2 linked regions of the Rhinolophus ferrumequinum genome follow. Each later gene encodes a partner of the first gene's protein in a complex. Links are inferred from orthologs where the notes say so. Each region holds a gene or a part of one and is shown on either strand. Other genes may lie near its edges.

Evidence for each region. Proteins that work in one complex are often made in the same cells at the same time.
Region 2: the proteins of XKR8 (region 1) and BSG are in contact, whole or in part, in a cryo-EM structure (PDB 7DCE), measured with the Homo sapiens proteins. The link is inferred for Rhinolophus ferrumequinum from reciprocal best matches to the Homo sapiens genes XKR8 and BSG. Residues at the interface, in NP_060523.2 of Homo sapiens: His232, Leu236, Val239, Leu242, Trp243, Leu246, Gln247, Arg280, Gly283, Arg284, Ile287, Phe291, Ser294, Asp295, Leu298, Ala301, Thr302; in NP_001719.2 of Homo sapiens: Trp326, Pro327, Gly330, Ile331, Glu334, Val335, Leu338, Val339, Ile341, Ile342, Phe343, Tyr345, Glu346, Lys350.

What each region holds. Positions count from the first base shown.
Region 1 is NC_046292.1:19,181,376-19,185,122, forward strand, and holds the start of XKR8 (XK-related protein 8), read left to right. Parts: upstream 1-1,376; 5' UTR 1,377-1,474; coding exon 1,475-1,767; intron 1,768-3,747. Other genes in the region: SMPDL3B (acid sphingomyelinase-like phosphodiesterase 3b), read left to right, coding at 239-604.
Region 2 is NC_046301.1:62,250,424-62,254,170, forward strand, and holds the start of BSG (basigin), read right to left. Parts: upstream 2,347-3,747; 5' UTR 2,231-2,346; coding exon 2,164-2,230; intron 1-2,163.

The DNA.
Region 1 (3,747 bases):
AAGGAATTAACCTCTTTAGGACTCAGTGTTCAAATCTGTGAAATAGGGGTAATAAGCACAGTTACCACATCAGATTCCATTAGAGGATGTCTGCCACGCACACCTGGTAAGTAGTAAATAATAACAAACAGAGGTCATTATTATGGATATAAAGAATCTGGGGACAAAGGCAAAATGAGGGATTAGGGGTGGAAGTAGACAGCTGCTCATGGCCTGCCTGACCGTGACCTCTTTGCAGAATATGATGACTTACTTCATGAACCTGAGCCAGGCGAACGCGCGCGGAGAGGCGCGCTGGGAGCTCGAGTACAGGGTGACGGAGGCCTACGGGGTGCCCGACGCAGGTGCCCGCTCCATGCACGCTGCACTGGGCCGCATCGCCACCGACCAGGACACGATGCAGCGCTACTACGTCTACAACTCTGTCAGCTACGACACGCGAGCCTGCGGCGAGGTCTGCCGCGCGGAGCACGTGTGCGCGCTGCGCGAGGTGGCCTTCGACGCGTACGCCGCCTGCCTGCGCGCCCCCGGCTCTGGTCCCGCGCCCGTGCTCGCGCTCCTGCTGGCCGCGCTGCTCGGCCTGTGCGCACTGCTCCCGCGGTGACGTTGAGCGCCGCCTGCCCGCTAGCTGTGTTGTCTTCCTCCTGGTGAATTGGGGCCAGCGTCACCTATTGAGAACTGGAATTTTACATCATTTACCCCCGCGTCCAGAGATAAGTGGGATGGGACAGTCAGATCAGGAAATGAAGCTCAAAGACCCCCTCCCCCCACGACGGACATTTCTTCCAAGTTTCACCTTTTATGGGGGAGGGGGGAACGCTCATCGTGCATCTTATTCTGCGTATTATTCCTTTCAATTTGTAAATAATGTTTAAAGCAACTCCTTTACACAGTCACTGAACGTCCTCCTGTCCCTCCATACGGATCTTCAGAATAAAATGAGCCAGGAAGATGCGCCTCGATGATCCTGTGCTCTCCGTCTCCCCAACACACTGCCCGAACTCGAAGCACAATTAGTTCGCGAAGTCCAGCGATCTGCGGTCAGAACAGGCCTTTCTGGGTTTTTTTACGCCGCAGTTCTAGCCCGGGCGCTAATCTCTGGGCCATTTGGGCCGTCTTAGGCCTCCAGGAGCCTCAAGTGCAAAGCAAGAGAATCAGAAGCCTGCTAAACTAAGGGCAGTACACCTTGGACGGCCCGTCTTCGGACCTAGCGGTCCTCGGGGCTCAGCGGGGCTGGGTGGAGGATTCCGGGGAAAGCTGCAGACAGGGCCTGCGGCCTTGCGAGGAAGGGCCTTGGGGGCAGGCCGCGGTCCTCGCTCCTCCCAGGACTAGGCGGGACAGGGAAGTCCCACCCAGCCGGCCCGGGCCCTGGGCGGCTCCGAGGGCTGTGCCCGCCTCCTTCCTGCCGCTGCATATCCCTGCCTGGAGGGCGGTTCCCAGCCCAGAGGGAAGGAGGGAGAGGGGCTGGCGCGTCATGCCCTGGTCACTGCGTGCCAAGCTCCTTACGGACCTGATCCTGGTCATCTGGGGAACCGCTGCCTTCCTGATCAACCTGGGCGCCAACCTGTGGGCCGCCAGCCAGTATGTGCTCAATGGTCGTTATGTGTGGGCCGCACTGGTGCTGACGCTGCTGGGCCTCTCCTCGGTTGCACTGCAGGTCTTCAGCTGGGTCTGGCTGCGCGCCGACCCGCCTGGCTTGCACGAGTCGCAGCCTCCGGGCCGCTGTCTGGCGCTGCTGCATCTCCTGCAGCTGGGATACCTGTACAGGTGAGCGCCCCGCCCTCGGGAGGAGGGAGGGGGAACAGAGCCCAGCGGTACCTCCTGGAGCTGAGCTGCTAGTACAGGTGAGAGCCCTGACACGGAAAGCGGGTAGAGAGGAGAGGACTGGAACACAGGAGAGAAAATTAAGCCTCCGTGGGCATCTCCACTTGCAGGTGAGCTTCCGGTCCCTTAAAGAGAACTCTGGCTGACAGTCCTCGGAACTCATCTAGCCCTACCCTTCCTGGCACAGGTGAAGAAACTGAGGCCCAGAAAAAACAGGGAGGTGCATGATATGGAGTCAGAACTCTCTGGGATTCTGGCTTTACCACCTGTGACCTGGTTTCTGCCTTTCTCTGAATCTGTTTCCTCCTCTGTTAAAAGGAGGTAGTTGTCGCTTCCAGCGCAACACGGGCAGTGAGGGTGCGAGAAGGGGCAGCTTTGGGTTAAGTTTTTAAGAAAGAAACATACAGAGACTTAATGCAGTTAAATCTCAGAAGGCCAGGGGTCTCACAGTCCTGAAAGACTGGAGCCCAGAACAACGCCGACTGGAGGTTTTTATTGATAAGTATACAAGGGGGTAGCAGTGTTTTTGGCATGCTCTGTGGGACTCACTTATCACGTTATAGAAACAACCCAAACCAATTATGTTGATCATAGTTGATCACAGTTGATCACAGCTGAAGCAGAAAGTCCTTGAGGTGAGGTATGCAACTCTTTTAAGGGACGTATATCACATGTCAAAATTGTTTCACAGAGCTGAGCAGAGCTTAATCTTATCACTCTCAAGACTTTTCTCCCAATTAGGTGAGAGGGAAAAGTCAGAGCCAGCAGCTGCTTTTCCCAGGCAGGGGGAAGAGGAGACAAGGCCCCTTCCCAAATCTTTTTAAGGCAGCTCATGGCGGTCTCCATGGGGTTCCGCCTGGTTTGAGTTGCCCCCACCATGGGGAATCTTACTCGTCATTGTCCGCAAACCCTCTTTTGGAGACTAAATAGAGAGAAATATACAGTCCCAGAGATGCACGGTCTCACAGACTATTCTTTCCTTAAGGAAAGACACGGGGGTGGGGGGGGCAGTCTGCTAGGCTGTTGTGTGACAACAGGTAGTAATGTAGAGATAGGTCTGGCAGGCAGGCCTGTTGTGAGGAGTGAAGAAAAGAGCACAGTGCTTGGCTCCTGGTGCACTGTAATGGCAAAGACTTGCAGACAGTCCAGTGTGTTCCTTTTAGCTGCAGAAGGGGCCTTGGGCAAGTCACTGGACCTCTCCAGGTCTCAGTTTACTCCTTGTTTCAGCGAGGATGGTCATAGTGCCTGCCTCTGGTAGGGATTAAATGAAATGAGACCTGTGAATTGAGTGCAGATATCAGCTAGCTTCATAATTACCTGGCTCATACTGGGAGTTTCAACAGCCCTGGCCCCTAGAGCAGTGCTTGTGCCCTCACCGCTGAGTGTCTCTCATCCTTTCTTTCTCCCCCACCCTGACTCCTCCCCACACCCTGACTGAGCAAGAGGGCAGAGATGGGAGTCTGACTTACCCATGTCTCCAGAGCCAGCCAGGTCTGGTCACAGGCTGAATCCTGGAAAATCGGCATGGGTGTTGCTCCTTTCCAGAACTGGCAGGGCCCTCTAGTGATGGGGAAACTGACACTAAAGGGTCAGAGTCATGCAATAAACTCAGGACTCCGTGGGGTCTGGGTTGGGATGAGGTGGCTGGAGCCAGGATCTGCTCTTGAATCCATTTTTATAGATTCTCTCCAGATCTTGCCTTGACAAAGCTGCACTGCGTTTCCAGGAGTGGGTGAGAGAAGCTTTGAATGTTGCAGTTTTGCCCGAGGGGACTGTGCAGGCATCAGTAAAACCCAAGGTGGGCATGAAGGGGCACACTTATTACCATCCAGGTAGGCCTCGATGGGGCCTGAATCTGTAACTACATCATGCATCTTCCCTTCTCCTATTTCTTCTGAGTGTGAGGCATATAGAATGCACTGA
Region 2 (3,747 bases), on another chromosome or scaffold:
TGCTTGAGAAAGTTTGAAAAGCACATCTTCTGGCAACCCCTGGCCAAACCCAGGGCCTAGGAGATGGTGGGGAGCAACCCCAATCCACAGGGAGTGGAAAGTGAAAATTGCATTCCAGCCCTGTGACTGTAACCCACGCTCTCAAGTAAAGTCACCTTCATCTAAAAACAGCCACCCCTGCTCAGTGCCCACTAGGCAGCCAGGCTGGGGAGCAGGGCCAGGCAGGCCTCGTGGTGAACTGCCCAGGAGCTATCAGGATGAGGCTGCAGGTCCCCACCCTCCTCCCACCCACAGCAGCACTGCAGGCCCCAGATAGGAGCCAAGAGCATTTCTGGGGACCAGCCGTGGGCTCCCCACCTCACCACCCTCCTCTCCATCCCACCAGGAGGCAGTTCAGAGAGGCCAAGTCATCAGCCCTTGGAACCCAGATGGCAAGCCCATGCCCTCCCAACGTGCTGGCCGGAATGACAGGACCCCGGGCAATCCTAGGGATAGCCAGGGTCTCCCAGCAGAGCACCCAGAGCATTCCTGGGGTGCTGAGCTGGCCTGAATATGCAAACACTGTCACTAAGTCACTCCTCCCAGGGAGAAAAGGAACATGTGGTGACATCCTCTGAAAGACTTTCAGATATTTTCAAGAGTTCCTGGGAAAGGGGGAGCTGTCAAAAGTAAAAAAGGAAAACAAAACAGACAGGAGTCCCAGGGGGTCAGAGGGCATAGTGAACCCCATGCAGGGAGCATGCAAGAAAAGCCCCCAACCTGCACCCACACAGAGCCTCCTGGCTTCCTGGCTGGGGCTCTGAGGCGAGGAGCACACTGGGGGGCTGTGCGCCACAGCAGAGGAAACCACGGTCCCTTAACCCCCTTGGCTGTCTCCAGCCACCGAGGCCCCAGCTGCTTATCTTCCGAATTCACTTCGACTACGGGTCCTACGTAAGTCTTTCCAGAGAGCGCTGGTGGGCAGACAGGTAGCCCAGAGGCATTCGATAAATGGCCGTTTTGATTATAAGAAGAGGAAGAGGCGAACTGAGATCTTAAAGTAGGTCAGGAGTAAGCCGGTGAAACTTCTACAAGAGGCAGCCCCTCCAGGGCTCAGTGCCACAAAACTTTCACGTCTGCACTTTGCTCCCTACATGCCGGTCACTAAATTGGTAACCCAGAACCAGAAAGAAAGTCTCCACAGGGGAAGAAAACGTCTGTCAGGCTTTCTCCTGGAAAACTGCACCTTAACCCATTTTCCCCCCGAGCCTTCTCCAAACCACATCTGCCCACCCCTAAAACCCTGCCCACTCCTCCTAACAGCTCTGAAAACTGAATGCTGTTTGAGAGTCTGTATACACAACCTTTTCCACTTCCTGCTCTGAACTGGGTGGCCAGGGCGACCTCACGGTGACCTTGGAACATCCCCCTCCCATCCGGAGCCTCAGTTTCCACCCCTGTAAAAGGAGGCTGGTGGATTAAACCAGTTTTATCTGTGCCCAGAAATCAGACAAAACCTAAGGCAATAGAGCATGTCGGCCTCCCTACAAGGGTTTAAAAGTTTGGGTGAACACCAGGAGCAGATGCACACCCAGGAGAGTCGGGACCTAAATCCCAGCAAGAATGACAATCCCTGCCAGTTCGACGGCCGCCAGCTTCAGGGACGCTCAAGTGCATTTGCTTCCAGCGTCCACTTGAGGACAACAGCCCGCTTTCCAGATAAGAGCTAAGCGCCCCAGGGAGTCCGGAGGGCCCTTCTCGCCCCTTGCCCCGCACACCCAGGCCGGGGAACCTCACCCTCAAGTTGCTTCCTCAGGTCCCTGGGCCCCCGATCCCAAGACCCAGCCGCTTCGTCCCTTCCCCAGCGGGGGAAGGGTGGGGGGCCGCTTCCAGATCCCCTCCCCAGGTGCCCTCACCAGGGGTCACAACAGCTCCCAGACCCCGCCCTCCCCCAGGCCGCCAAAAATCTGGGACTTCAGTATCGTCCTGGTCGGATCCCCGAGACCCCAAGCCGGGGCTTCCCAACATACCACCTCGGCGGGGAGTCCTCGGAGCGCCCCAAACCCCGGGCACTGTCTCCGCCGGAGCTCACGGGTTCCCCTAGGAGGACGGGGCTTCACCTCCACCCCCGCCCGGCTGGACCCCCGAGGGCGAACCCACGGCCCCCGCCCGACCAGTTCTCACCCGCCCCGGTGCCTCTGTCAGCGCTCAGCAGCGCGAGCCCCAATACTACAAGCAGCGTTGTCGCCATGTCGCCGCCTTGCCCGACGCCAACCACCGCCCCCGGCGCTGTAATAATCCAAGGGGCTGGCTGGGCGCGCGCACGCAGGGCGGTGTCGCAAGGGCGGGGCGCGCTGGCCGCCGCCTGCGCACGCGTGTAGACGCACGTACGCACGCGCTGGCCCTGGCAGGCTTGCTCTACGGAAGCCTGGAAGGCGGCGCATGTGACTCCGGCGCGCCACGCCCTGCGGCCTAGGGGCGTGGCTACGTTGCTAAGAAATGCGAGCGAGGCTTTCATTCTTTTAGAAAGTGTTGAGAACTGAACTGTGCACTCAAAAGTGGCAAAAATGCTCAATTTTTATTATGTGTATTTTACCACAACAAAAAAACATTAAGGGATCCTTGTGAACAGGTGGGATATGTTCCCTGGGGGGACAGGGGCTGCCAGGTTTAGCAAATAAAAAGACCTGGACCACGGTTAAATTTGAATTTTACACAGGGAACGAGTGATTTACTAGCGTAACTATCCCGTGCAACGTGTAGACATAGAGATGCAAGAAAAATACTCGTTATTTATCTGATTGTTGCTATTTATCTGAAATTCAAGCATAACTGGCAGTCCTGTGTTTTGTCTGGAAAACCTACCCTGAGGTCCCCATGTTTTACCGTTTTTCCCCGAAAATAAGACCTACCTGGAAAATAAGCCCTAGCATGATTTTTTCAGGATGCTCATATTATAAGCCCTACCCCAAAAATAAGCCCCAGTTAAGATTGTCAGCCAGACGGACACATTTAGTATGTCTGTTGCAACACACGACTGACGTATTGAATTATAAAATAATATTTATATATAATTAAATATAAATAATATTATTGGCATTAATACTTAAATAAATGATAATATAAATTATAATTAAGTATTTGTAAATACCCAAGCGGGCGCCTTCGGATAAGAGGTAAACGCCTATGTAAACACATGAACTCGAAACTTATTGCCGAATGACCAATCAGAGTATAAACACAACTCACGAATAACGTGTGCACTTGATAACGAGCAGACGTGGTTGTGTCTAATATGAATCTTCATAATTCAATACGTTGCGTATTGTAATGGACGTACTTAATGCACTCTTGTGAAATAAAGAAACCTTTTCTGAATTTTGGTGCCTGCAATTTTTCACCGCTTTTGTGTGGACCATCATTCTTAACTATCATCATTTTTGTTGTCACTCCTGTCTCGTAGTCTTCAATTAACTCTTGATTTAATGGTACGTTTAAAGGGAATAATATTTTGACCCCCAGACAAGATGAGAAAGAGCTATTCTGTCGAGTATAAGAAAGGACTCGTGGATTACTCCTGGGGCAAGAATCTTCCGGCTTTCTGCAAAGAGAAGAAGTTGGATCTCCGAATGGTCCGAAAATGGCGAGCAGAGTACAATAACCTCAGTCAACAGGTGGACGAGGGAAATGCTAAGAAGCGCAAGTGTGGATCAAGTCAGCAACCATTATTTCCTGAGCTGGAAGAGATCATCTGTGAATGGATTGCTG